Linked DNA regions of Drosophila melanogaster. The gene in region 1 interacts genetically with each later gene. Each region holds a gene or a part of one and is shown in the gene's direction. Other genes may lie near its edges. The genes, in order: ATPCL and sea.

The links.
Region 2: of ATPCL (region 1) and sea, changing one enhances a phenotype caused by changing the other (phenotypic enhancement), as found in Drosophila melanogaster (one study listed by BioGRID).

What each region holds. Positions count from the first base shown.
Region 1 is NT_033778.4:15,998,021-16,003,195, reverse strand, and holds the start of ATPCL (ATP citrate lyase), read left to right. Parts: upstream 1-1,905; 5' UTR 1,906-2,008; exon of another isoform or gene 2,009-2,015; intron 2,016-2,908; exon of another isoform or gene 2,909-3,101; intron 3,102-3,225; 5' UTR 3,226-3,232; coding exon 3,233-3,391; intron 3,392-4,943; coding exon 4,944-5,129; intron 5,130-5,175. Other genes in the region: Tmem131 (transmembrane protein 131), read right to left, coding at 1-644, 698-1,264.
Region 2 is NT_033777.3:11,560,819-11,568,661, reverse strand, and holds the start of sea (scheggia), read left to right. Parts: upstream 1-1,607; 5' UTR 1,608-1,674; coding exon of another isoform or gene 1,675-1,744; intron 1,745-3,550; exon of another isoform or gene 3,551-3,847; coding exon of another isoform or gene 3,848-3,878; intron 3,879-3,950; coding exon of another isoform or gene 3,951-4,222; intron 4,223-4,290; coding exon of another isoform or gene 4,291-4,341; exon of another isoform or gene 4,342-4,604; intron 4,605-5,369; exon of another isoform or gene 5,370-5,562; intron 5,563-6,365; exon of another isoform or gene 6,366-6,461; intron 6,462-7,456; coding exon of another isoform or gene 7,457-7,484; coding exon 7,485-7,810; intron 7,811-7,843. Other genes in the region: fabp (fatty acid binding protein), read left to right, coding at 1,675-1,744, 3,951-4,222, 7,457-7,588.

The sequences.
Region 1 (5,175 bases):
GGTATTGCGAACTTGTTCCGCACCACCAGCGATCGTTTTCTTTCCAGCGGTTCACCCTCGACGCCTTCTGGCGAGGTGGTCACAAATCTGGTGGCATTTCTGTCGAAGGTGAGCCCTCCATGGAAGATTTCCGCTCGCACCAGCACTGTAAACGGCTGATCCGCACCAGGACTGGTACTGGACTGGTTACTGTTGATCACCAGCAGATCATTAATGATCTCATCGCCTTCGAATAGGCTGGCATCCAACACTATACTTGTGTTGTTTGCGTCAAACGAGAGACCCGGAATCTGGCGAAGGTAACTGCCGAAGAGTTGGCGACTCTCGTCGTTCCGAACGTCCAGCTTGAACTGTAGTGCATCCGGAGCATTTAAAGTGGCCACACGGCCAAAGTCCGCCAGTGGATTGCGGGCGTACACAGAATGTCGTGGCAGAATCTCAAATTCGACAGGAATAAAAATATCCAGTTCCTGCTCTGCGACCTTGATGCGTATGTAGGCGCTGTGATTGCCAGCTGTGCGGCCGTGAAATGATATCCTAATGACCGGCTTTAAAGTGTGTGGAGGAATTTTCCACAGATTTTGTGGGCCCTCCGAGCCACCGCTGGGCAACTCTAACTGAAACTCGCCGCCGCTGCTGTATATCTAAAAGACATGGTTATGGGTAATATACCTACAGAGTGTTGATTAAAACCTACCTCAAGTATCTGCAGCGGCCGCTCGTGCGGGTTGTACATGTGAATCTCTGGCGTGAGTGTCGCATTCATGGGCGCCTTAATGCCCACCAACGGCTTTAGGCGGTACGGGCACTCACTGCCCTCGCCCTGTACCGCCAACTCGGCCTGGCCGAAGGAGGTGTGAATGAGAAGGTCGGCGGCAATGGCGCCTAGTTGGCGCGGTAGGAACACCACGTTGAAAGTTGTATTGCCTTGCGGCGGCACCTCTCTCGTGCCCAGGAAGCTGCTGTAGAACGCCGGACTTGGTCCGGCCACCGCGTTCAGCTGGAGCGTTCGATTGGAGTGTTGATTGAATAGTGTCACCGTCTGAGAACGCGCCTGGCCGACGGACCACGTTCCAAAGTCTAGACGGGACGGCACAAGCCGAAGGTCCCCCAAATCGTGGATTGGTGCCTCCTGCAGCCCCAGGAAAGTCTCCTGCAGGACCTTTTCACCTTTGGCGCCCAAAGTGAAAAGGAAGATTAGGATGAGCAGGATGGGTTCTGCGAATATTCGCAAAAGCGGCCTCATCTGGACTTGTGTGGGCATGGCGTGCGTTCCCTTGATCCTGGGATGCTGTGTGTGTGTGTGTTCGTGTGGGCGGCGATGGCGCAGCTCCTGGTAACCGACTTTCTGTCCAGCTGCTAATCTAAATTGGAGTTTCCTTGGCGTTGCGCTTTATTTATATTATCCAATATCGCTGGCCAAAAATTATTATCGCTTTTCGGTGTGACCGCCGTGGAATACATAAAACATACCATCCGGCACAGGGAAATACTAATCATATGATCATTTTAAAAATATACCATTAAAGCACAGAATCCTTTTTTAAGGCGCATCAGGTGGCTACATAAATTGCTTGATATATGGGCTTATGTTTAGTTGATTTCTTGCTGGTAGTATAATTTAAGCGTTCAATGGCATGCGATTAAATTTAACATTGTATTGTAGCAGATTATTAAAATAATGAAATATTTATATATTATTAAATATATATAAAAAAATATATATTTAATTTGTTTACTATAAATGCTATTAATATTATAGAGCCTAGCGCATACAGTTAATACTGTATATAATATTACATACTGTTGCGCAGTATTTTAAAACGCGCCAAAAAGTATGCTCGAAAAAAATTAATAACAAAATGTATCGCCATGTATTCGAGGGAAAACAGTGAAAGAGCTATCGAAACTTGGCCATCGCTAGCTAAAGAAACGACAACCGAAAGAAAGTTGCAGTTTAGTTTACGTGTTAAAATTAATCGCAGGTCGTGAAGCTGATTTAACTAAAGTGAGTGCTCTCGTCGCCCGTTAATATACCCGCGTATATACACCCACAATTTCATTGAATAGTGACGAGTACAAAGGAAAACATGACCAAATGAAATTTCGCACAGATCGTTCGGCTTGCTCCACGCACTTACACTCACACACACACACACACACACACACACACACACACACTATAATCACATATTCGCTGAATATTGCAGAAATATTAATGCGAAAATCAGCAAGCATTTTGCAATAATTACTGAAGGCGAAGATTAACAGCTATTTGACCCACGAACGGTGATGCAACAGCCCTATTGATTTTGCCCACTTTCACCGCTTACAACATTTTTAGTTTGGGCTTCGGTTTCGGTTTCGCATTTAGTTTTTTTTAGTTTCACCAGCAGGGCAGCCAATTTGCATACGCATCGGCTAGGCGTGAACTTCGTTTCCAGATGTAAATTAGATCGTGTGTACTTGCAAAGTCATCAGCCCCCTTCAATGTGCGCTCTTCATCGAATTAGATTCCATGCCATTTCCGATTTGCTAGCCATTGGCTGTTCATGTATTTTTGGGAGAAAGTTCGGCCCTCAGCCAAAGTGACCCACTGACTTGACTAACTGGGCTTGATATCCAAGCTGCAATGATATGTTGATAACCGGTTCTACAAAAGGTGCTTCCCCACACCCAACGCAATGGTAATGGTCCAGGGCCAGATCCCGTTGCAGACCTAATCTCTGGGAAACAACCATCTGGTTGAGCGAGAGCCATGTACATATCAACACATAAGCCGAAAATTCTAAAGACCCGAAGCCGTTGGAGTCGCGAAGCTTGAAAGCCGAGGCAGCGCCACGAAATCGAAATCAGAATACGCCTGTTGCTGGCTCATTTTCATGGATGGTGCTGTCGCGCATTCGATTTCAGTTTACTTCCAGACCCGACGACGTGCAGGTTGATTAGCTAGCTGCCCAGCCTGTAGCTACCCAAAGCTGAAGCCGCCCAGCACGCACACTTTGAAACTTACTCGAAACCTATTGCACCTGCACACAGTCGTGCTCTAATCAATTCTAAGTAAATAAATCAAAGTTTGAAAGTACAGACAAAGTCAAACGGTACGCGCGAACACACGAGACCCTCCTTTATTTGTATTTGAAAGAAGGCTATATTAAATCTTAATTGATTTGTTTTTATATATTTTTGTATTTTTGTTTTTTTGTTTTTTTGTATATTCTGTAGCTTCATCATGTCGGCGAAAGCAATCACCGAGGCCTCCGGCAAGGACATCCTGAACCGCCATCTCAACACCCATGGCGCCGGCGCGGCCACTTGCCGTTTTTCCACAGTAAATTCCACGACAGATTGGTCCAAGCTCGCCGTTGACCATCCCTGGCTGCTGACCACGGTGAGTGCCAGTTAAAAATAGCCGCGAAACTCGCGGAACTCGACGATTGCGAATCAGCCGATATGTAGGAACAACAATTGGGCCAGCGACAACAAACGCTCGGCGGGATTGTCATTGAACTTGACCTCGTGGTGGACGCTTCGACCACCACGCCGATGCCGAATGACTAAGCGCGGCTCCTGATAAGAGCGAATTGGGCGCCAGTCGGTCGCGCGAGTTGATCGCTGGAAATTGCGGAGTAGACGGACGGACGCGGGCGCAGACCGACAGCTCACCCCATGGCGCACTCTGGTTTTTATCAGATTGCCGGGGACCCAGTCGTAGGTCGCGTGGCATGGCGTGGTCTTGGCCCCTTTGGTTATCCGCCGGCGGATCAGGCTCACCTCATTTGCGAACACGATAAGCGTGCGTGGAGATTGGGATTCACGATCACGCAGCTATCTCTGATTGACCTTCCGATCGATAGTGGAAAGTTTGGCTGTAGCCAAGTACTTATCTTGAGCACTTATAACGGTTGAGTGGGAAATAAGGGGAAGCTAACATGTTCCGTGTTTGTTTTAGAAAACCTTTATCACCGAAATCCATATGTTCGAAATCTTATCATCAAGTTATTTGTTGATTTTGGAGCGTCTCAATTTATTGACCTTACCTAGCATTGTTGCGCCGCCTGAATTTCTAAAGAATAATTTCAATTCAAATATGCCGGAGATTTTAAAGTGGCGAAGTGTCGCTGAGTCGAGTGGGGGATTCAGGGAACTACTCTACTATCTTTCAAACAATTTTCGCAAAATAATATATTCTATTGAAATGTGATCAGTTAAAACTTATCTATAAGTTGTTTGTTGACTCTAGAGGGAGCGTCCCTATACTTAGTCTTAGTAATCTAAAGGCAGGATTGTGAAACTCTGATTATCAGGAAGGTGTTTTAATTTATGACATGCAGATAGAAGGTATTAACTTTCTGATTTAATAGACTTATTGTCTTGTTGTCACGTTTTCGTTTGAAGTGCATAATACTTTTATTACGTTACTGATAATGATGTTTACCCCACTGAAGGGGGAGAAGCAAACAATCAAACACAATACAACTCCCTTTAAATAGTTTCACTTAGAGCTATTAGTTTAATATTTTGATCTCGTAATTTTATATGCAATTAAGATAGATCCGAAATTTAGTGAGCATAATGGGAGTTCTTTCGGCTTTAATTACACGACAAAGTGAATCGCCTGACGGACATCTCGGATGATATTTCGTAGTCGGACTGTTTGCTCAATTTACACTCGTACGATCTTCTAATAAGCATATGAGATGTGTTTTTGTGTGGGCACAAGTACAAGTTCGGGTAAGGGTACGAGCACTGGCATTGTCATTGGCAATGACGCGGGAACGACCCCTGATGTTATCGGCTGATCTTTTCGACAGATGCTGATCGTTGGAACCGGCTTTTTTACTGACGCGCCGAGATCAGAAGGCACAAGTTCAACGATTTGTCGCTTATTTCATTTATATTTAGCATACATTTAATTAGCCCCGTCCTTTCCTTTGTTGCAGCCGCTGGTGTGCAAGCCCGATCAACTTATCAAGCGCCGTGGAAAGCTGGGACTAATTGGCGTCAAGAAGAACTTTGAGCAGGTGAAGCAGTGGATTGGCGAGCGCCTCAACAAGGACCAGAAGATCGGAAATGCCGTGGGAAAGCTCAGGAACTTTATCATCGAACCTTTTGTGCCCCACACCGATGTGAGTTATCAAATTGTTTATTATGTGTATGTATACTTAACACCAT
Region 2 (7,843 bases), on another chromosome or scaffold:
CTTTAAAGTTTCCGAATGACTAAATGCATGTTTCTTCAACGCAGTCCAGGAATGGCTGCATGCAGTCGAAAAATGGACTGCCAAATGGAATGTGGCCATTAACTCCTCGAAGTCAGCCTGTGTAACTTTTACCCTGCGGCCCGGAACTTGCACAGATCTGACTTTTGATGGAAACAATGTCACATCGCACTGCTACCTAGGAGTTCATCTAAATCGGGGACTGACCTGGAGGGCCCACATCTCGTCGGTCAAATTCAAGTCACTGGCGAAACTAAAAAAGCTCGACTGGCTCTTCCACTCCAGTAAATAATACACATTAAGAAGTATATATATAAAGATATACTGAGAGTATATCATATTTTGTATTGATCAAGACGTTACTTATTATTGGTATACATAAATAATATATGTAGTACATATTATGTACATAAGTATGTTTCGTGGCAAACCCCCGTAATCTCTTTTATTTATGACGATCAATGCAATAATAAGGATGATCGGTGAGGGGGGTGCGGGATCATGGACTAATTGAATTAATAAGATAACGCTTAGCAACAAACAAGTCGGTATCCATGTAGGTGGGCCCTCCCACGGGATGGGCAGGCTTATGGAGATCGTGGGTAATCTCAATATTGCATTGCCTGACCATGGGTGGAAGGAAGTCCTCGATTAGATTACAATTCACCGGCGACTTATCAAGAGTTATTCATAACAATAATATAAACGAATTGTGTCGAAAATTATTTATACACATTGGTAAAATGTAGAAGCTCGGGAGATTCTTTTAATGGTGCCACTGACCCACAGAAAAAAGTCTACTAATTCGGAATATATGGGGGGCGAACAGTCGAGACTCAGAAACCTGGATAACGGATATCCTTTTAAATAAAATATACGTGTGTATGTATGTTAAAATTTTAAATCTTGATATTATATTAATAATAATTTTGTACTACAAAGTGAGATAGTCTGGGTTTCAAATAAATTCCCCTTCCTTACTTGCACACATTGGGTTTCCCAATGCGTAATCTGAAATTCGGAGAAAAGTTTAAAGTTCGCGCCAAAATAGGCAAGTTTTGACTGTATAATGCGAGATACATTGCAGTTCCATTGTCAGCATGACAATGTGGCGTTCGTTATTAGGCCGGTGCTTTTGAACCAATTAAGGCTGCAGCCAATTGATCGCGCCAAGGTGAAGGTGCTTGGGTGCTGGGAGGAGCAGGAGGAGCTGGTCAGACGTTGGGTGGCAGTAACACGTCCGATCCATTACCAATATGCGGTGTGAGGGGGAGTGGTGGCCCCCATAGAACCGTTAATATTTTTTTTGGAGAGCGCCTAAAAAAGCTGCTTTTTGTAAGAGCGCCAACGGCTTGGCGCCGACATTTCGATACCTTGGCGGCTGTACTTGGCTTTGCATCTGGTAATCCGATGCTCAGCCGATGCCACATCATTAAATTTTTAATTTGTGAGACAAACAAAAAGGAAACGTGCAAAAGCCGTGCCGCAGAACGAGAGCGAATCAAATGAGAGCGAGAGGCCATTAACTTGCATCTGGCAATGCCGTAGCCGCAACGCGAAAGTATATAACAGCCGGCACGCCGCAGAGCTTTTCATTCGCTCAGAAAATTTCAACAGTGAACATCTTGTGCAGAACACAGACCAAATATTCCAAAAATGTCTTTCGTTGGCAAGAAGTACAAGCTGGACAAGTCCGAGAACTTCGATGAGTACATGAAGGAGCTGGGTAAGTTGCCAAAACTAATTCGCAGTGCATCAAAAATAGAAAACCAAAGTGCTCGAGAGAGCGAGAGCGGGAGTGGAGGGAGAGAAAAGAAGCCGAAAACACGCCACCGAAAATCGACCGGCCGGCATTTTTCGCACTAGTGTGCAAAAAGTTTCATTGGCCAAACGAGAGGGAAAAAAGTAAATGTCTTCCGGAAAATGTTATATCAACTGAAGATTATGAATGAATTCGACTGTTAAAATAGTTTAGCTACATGCATAAATTGACACCTCATTGAATCTGCTGATGTGCGTATGTGTGTGTCAGATAAAATCAATAGAGAATAGGACCAGAGAAAGAGATGCACATCTGCAGCAATAAAAACGTGCTCCAGTTATTCACCTCACCCTCTTTCTCAACTTTACAGTTGCGAATCGGAGGACAAGCAGTATAAAATCCGTAAATGGTTATCTGCGGTAGTCATAAACCCAAAAACTAATTAAGTGTGGGGCCTGAACTTTGCTCCCCTTTTTTGAGTCACCTCCGTCAGCTTTCCATGGGACCGAAATCATCATAGTGCCATTAGCTTTTGCGACAGGTTTTATCTATTTGTGTACTAGATTTTGGGAGAAAGTCTCGCAGTGAACTTTGCACTAGACTACAAGCTTTATAGCTGCGATGATCTTTGCCCGGCTGTCAATTTAGACAACAATGAAACACCAGATATAAACTACATATAGGACACATTCGACTCTCTTACCGATCAAAGTGCAATTTCTATTGCAATCGTGATTATACTATATGGTGCCACTAAAACTGATCAATACCATCGCTTCCTGTCTAGACGCGCCATAGGGACTAGTGGCATTTGGTAACCAGAGACGGGCGTCCAGATTTATTTACCAGACCACCAGTTCGTCAGAACTTTTCGCCTACACACTTTGCGGCTTCGGTTTAATGGTAGACTTGGTCCGAAAGCCACGTACTTCTCAATTTTCAAGCCCAAACAAATCTAAAATCAACCTGCCGTTGGGGCCTCGCAGCACTTATCAGTTGTCGTACATATATAAATGCGATAAACTATATGCCTATTTATGTACACACATTTGTAGTATATACAATGTCGCAAAAGGCACGATAATTAGGCGCGATTACGGATTTTGCACTTTGGGCAGCCACCCCTATCATAGACCACGGTTCGCAATTGCAGGCCAGTCTAATCTATTCAAGGTTCTCCTGTCATATACGATGCATATAAATCGATCTCTGGTACAGTTGCTGGGTTCCCATGAGTGGGAACCTGGCGACTTATCGCGCCACGCCAGTTGACACTTGACTTGAGGGCACTGGACAAAAGAACAAGTTGGTGGTGGTCCATACATAATTGAACATAATTGATTGGACCACTTGTTGGTTTGATGTCTGACAATGTACTAGATTGGAAATAATACATGTGCCCTATTTGCTGGCACATTCGTAAGGTACCAGTGATTCACACTTTGTTTTTGATTCAACGTTTCATTTGGCGAAACTTCTTTCAAATAAAAATATAAATGCAAAATTACTCATACAGCTACGTGCATGCATATAGTATTTCAGTAATTACAAGTCCCATAAAATTAAGTGACAAATTTTAGTACTTAAACACGATTGATTGTTCACAATCGTTAAGTTATCATTTAATGATGGAATTGCTTTGCTTATCTTTCGATGGTAATTATCAGCACTTCAAAGGTTTACGATTTGGAACGTCAGCAAAATGGATCTTGACCACTTAAGCCAGTAAAATATATATTTACACTGCTTGAATGGCATTTATATTCACAGTTCTGCCCTCAAACAACATATGTATATATGGAATGCTGCACCGAGATAAGGTGGTGCTTTGCCAGATCTATATTTAAATGCATGGAGGGGCTTGCCAATTGATAAGAGCGGAGATGAGGATGAGGGAGGAGACGACGGCCCGCATTGTTCGTTAACCTTGAGCACGACTTTTGACGTTACAGCGGAACGGAATCTGCAGGGAACTTCATGGCTCGGCTTTATTATTTTTAATTAAATATGATATGATTTGCATTGTGAGCGCTTTGGGGTCCCCAACTTTGTTGGGCTAATTCAATTATGTGCAGTCTGCCCCATCATTCATCTTTCGGTGCGATCTTTGATTTCCTTACATTCTCGTGAGATGGAACTTCATTAATTTCTTTTCCCTTTCCACTTGCAGGCGTCGGTCTGGTGACGCGCAAGATGGGCAACAGCCTGAGCCCCACAGTGGAGGTGACCTTGGAGGGCGATACCTACACCCTGACTACCACCTCCACCTTCAAGACCTCTGCCATCAGCTTCAAGCTGGGCGTTGAGTTCGACGAGGAGACCCTGGACGGTCGCAACGTCAAGAGCATCATCACCCTGGATGGCAACAAGCTGACGCAGGAGCAGAAGGGCGACAAGCCCACCACCATCGTCCGCGAGTTCACCGACAACGAGCTGATCACCGTAAGCGCTTACTATACCTTGCCGTATATCATCACACCCACCTAACTGATCCAATGCCTCCCCCACAGACCCTCACCATCGGCAACGTTAAGTGCGTGCGCGTCTACAAGGCCGTCTAAGAGACTGATCTAAAACTATAATATCCATACGACTACATGCATTAAAACTAACTCAGATAGCCAATATTCTTGTTGACTAACAGTGAACTAAACCAAATCAAATGGAACTGCACGCTCTGCCCAATGTTAATTTATAATCGCACCCGTACACCCGCAGTCGGTGTATGTGGGAATACTCCTCGTACTCGGGGACCAATTTCCGAATGCATTTGAATAAACTATTACTTGAAGTGCTTTTAAAACATTCCGACTTTCTTTTACACTTCGCTTTTAAGCTTGTTGTTGCTTAGGTTAATGACGAAATGTAAGCTTAGACACAGCAATCAAAATTATATTAGTTTTAGTTATAAATTTATATTTTGGCATTTTTCCAACTATTTCCCAAATTTACGGTTTTGTGAGTAAGCAAGTAACGTGTTTTCATCGAAATAATTTTAGTTCCTACCTAAAAAAGAATTTTTAAGTGGCTTGTTTGTGAGGCGAACAATGCCAGATATTTTAGTTTGGCTTGAAAGTTATCGTTAAGGATCCCGAAATTCGTAGGGTGTCATATTTTCAATGGCTAAAGGGATCGAGAATACCAAATTCAATTACATTTTCAATTGGAGGTCATATTTTTGAATCGATATGAATTATAAAGTTTCAAATTTCAAACTGTTAAAAGAAATTCCACCTTTGGGGTTATAGAAAGCATGTTTCTTACTATCGTTTCTTATTGTATCGTTTATTGAAGTTGTATGTATAAAGAGAAGAGGCACAAGTCTGAATGGTCTCTGATTTGCTTTTGGGCTGCGGATGTTCTGCCCACGCGTTTCCGTTTCCGTTGCGATGCATTTGCTCTTGCTAATTGAGTATAAAACACAATGCTGCTGGGGCTTTTGCACTGTTCGTGTGAATGGGGTCTGTTGCAAGTGCGTGCCACAAGTGTGGGTGGGTGGCATCTGCTGCATTTGGGGGCTGGCGCAAGCGCACACGTTATCAGCGGACAGTTGGCAGCACGGCCACACTTTCGCCGGGTTTTTTTTGTTAACATTCGTCGTTTGCCGGCGGCGTTAGAACTACGTGTATCCGCATGACGCCGAGTTGCGTCAGTCGGTAAATAGTAGACACTTAATTGTTGGTCAATTGGGCGTTATAAATTAAAAAGCAAAAGCGCCGTTATCGATTTTATTAGTGTAGCACTAAATGCTCTGATAACCTGGATAAAACTACCGCGTGGGTGTGCGTAGGCTACGCGCATTGTGTGTGTGTGAACTCATTGTGTAATCGCTAAAGAAAAAATGTTGGTCTACTTTGCGGCGTACCTAACATTCAAAATTTAAAGTCAAATGTTCTTCTTGTTGTTCTTCAGCGGAGCTTTTCCAGTCCGCCCCAAAAGCTCTGTCCACTTTGTTGTTGCTGGACAAACGGGTTTCCGATTAGAGAGAGAAAGAGAGATCTTCACTGCGGTGTCAGCAAAAAAACGTTACTTTGGCGCTACTCTTCGCACTCTCTGCACAGAAAAAAGTTCTCCATAAAGTAATCGAAACGCACTTATATAGCTATCAAAATACCTTTATCAATGTGGAATCAATCTTTAGAAACTTAATATTCCATTATTAGGATCGAACTGATGTATGTGTATGTTACTCGTTTAGGATCGTTTACTAGATAGATCCACGTATCATTTCTTTTATTTTCAATTTCTGATTGATTTTCAAAATAGAAATATTTTACTGTGTACATTACTGAGCGCGGGGAGAGTGGATACCGCTGAAGTGCTGTTGTTTACAAAACGCCGACCATTGGAATTACAGTGCGCCCCTGATGCAGTGAACTATAGAGAATAGCGTGCTCAGTCTATCGATTCAATTTATTTTACAAAAAGTTTGATATTTAGAAGAATCTACCATTTTAAATCTATTGGGATAGAGTTGTTCGGACTGCTGACTGTTGGATCTGAAAATCCAAAGTCCGTTAGTTCCGGGATGCACTGTATCGCTTTCGCTCGTCGATTGGAAAATGGAATTTTTTCGTAGCCCCGATCAGTTGAGATTCAACCGCTGTCCCCATCGCCACTTCACTTCACCGCTGCCTGGGCTTTCCAAAATTATAATTATTTCGGTTTTTTGAATTCTAATGTGAGTAGTAGAGAACAATACCCGATAGCAAAGCTGCATGAGCAAAAATTAAGCGCGACTTTTGCCAGACAGCAGTGCGCTTTGAGTGTGTGGGTGTGGGCTTAATCAACCGCTTTTGAAGTCTGTGTGTGTGTGTGGAAGTCGGTAGAAACTTTCCAGTGCCGACTTATCAGTGGGTATTGTTTATGTTTATCCAGATTTCCAGACCGATACGGAAATTGGCTTAAACAGCGGCATAAAATGAATAATTATGAACTTGCAACTGTGTGCGATTATAATTTATGGTCATGCAAAAGTTATGTAATCGCACTGAAACAATATTAATTTGTCAAGTGCAAAGAGCGAAACAACCAACGAGCCTGCTGATATTGATATAGTACCGCTCCCACTCAAACCGTCCCAGACTATATCACCCGATCTTAAGTAATCACTATTGAGATTTTCGAACATTTGGTTTTTCGCTCTGTTTGTGTTAGTTTGTCGACTCTTCGTTCACAGTTTTCGAACCTTGTCCCCAAGGTGAAATGAATATGTTTTGGGGGAAAAGAGAGTCAACGATACAATGGGAAGTTACCTATGATAATGGCATTGATTACTAACTTTAAATTGGAGCCCGCTGGAGCCATTCCAGCCAAGTGGAATTCTTTTCCTCATAGAAATTGCATAACTAGTAGAGCAGAACTGCAATTAAACAAACATTTAATACGATAATTAAGGTCGATATTCGCATAGATACGCGGTTCACGATTGTACGTCACAGATATAGTTAAATTGTTTAAATAGATGATAAGGAATACTTCAGATATCATTATCTATGAAGAACAAATGCCATATTTTCATACAAGTTTTGGGGAATATTTTGAAATCCGCGCACCCACGCAGAACGAGTCTATTTTGATCCATTTACAACAATAGGATATAAATAACATTCAATCGGACAGAAATCAGCTGGAATTCACTCAGTACAATAAATGAATTCTACTATTTTCTTTCAGCTAATTCCCCACCTAACACCCAGTCAGCATGGATCGCTCCGCCTTCGCGTCCCTTGTCAGCCCGTACCGCCGACGTCCGTGGATGACGGAGCACGGAGCGGCGGCTGCGGACAGCGGCCAGGTGGGCCTTAAGGGCATCGTCGCCGGCGGTATTACGGGCGGCATCGAGATCTGCATCACCTATCCCACCGAGTATGTGAAGACACAACTGCAGCTGGACGAGAAGGGAGCGGCGAAGAAGTACAACGGCATCTTTGATTGCGTTAAGAAGACGGTGGGAGAACGTGGATTCCTGGGTCTCTACCGAGGTCTCAGTGTGCTCGTCTACGGCAGCATTCCTAAGTCAGCGGCGAGGTAAGTTATATAACTTTTGGTTATAGTTCATGT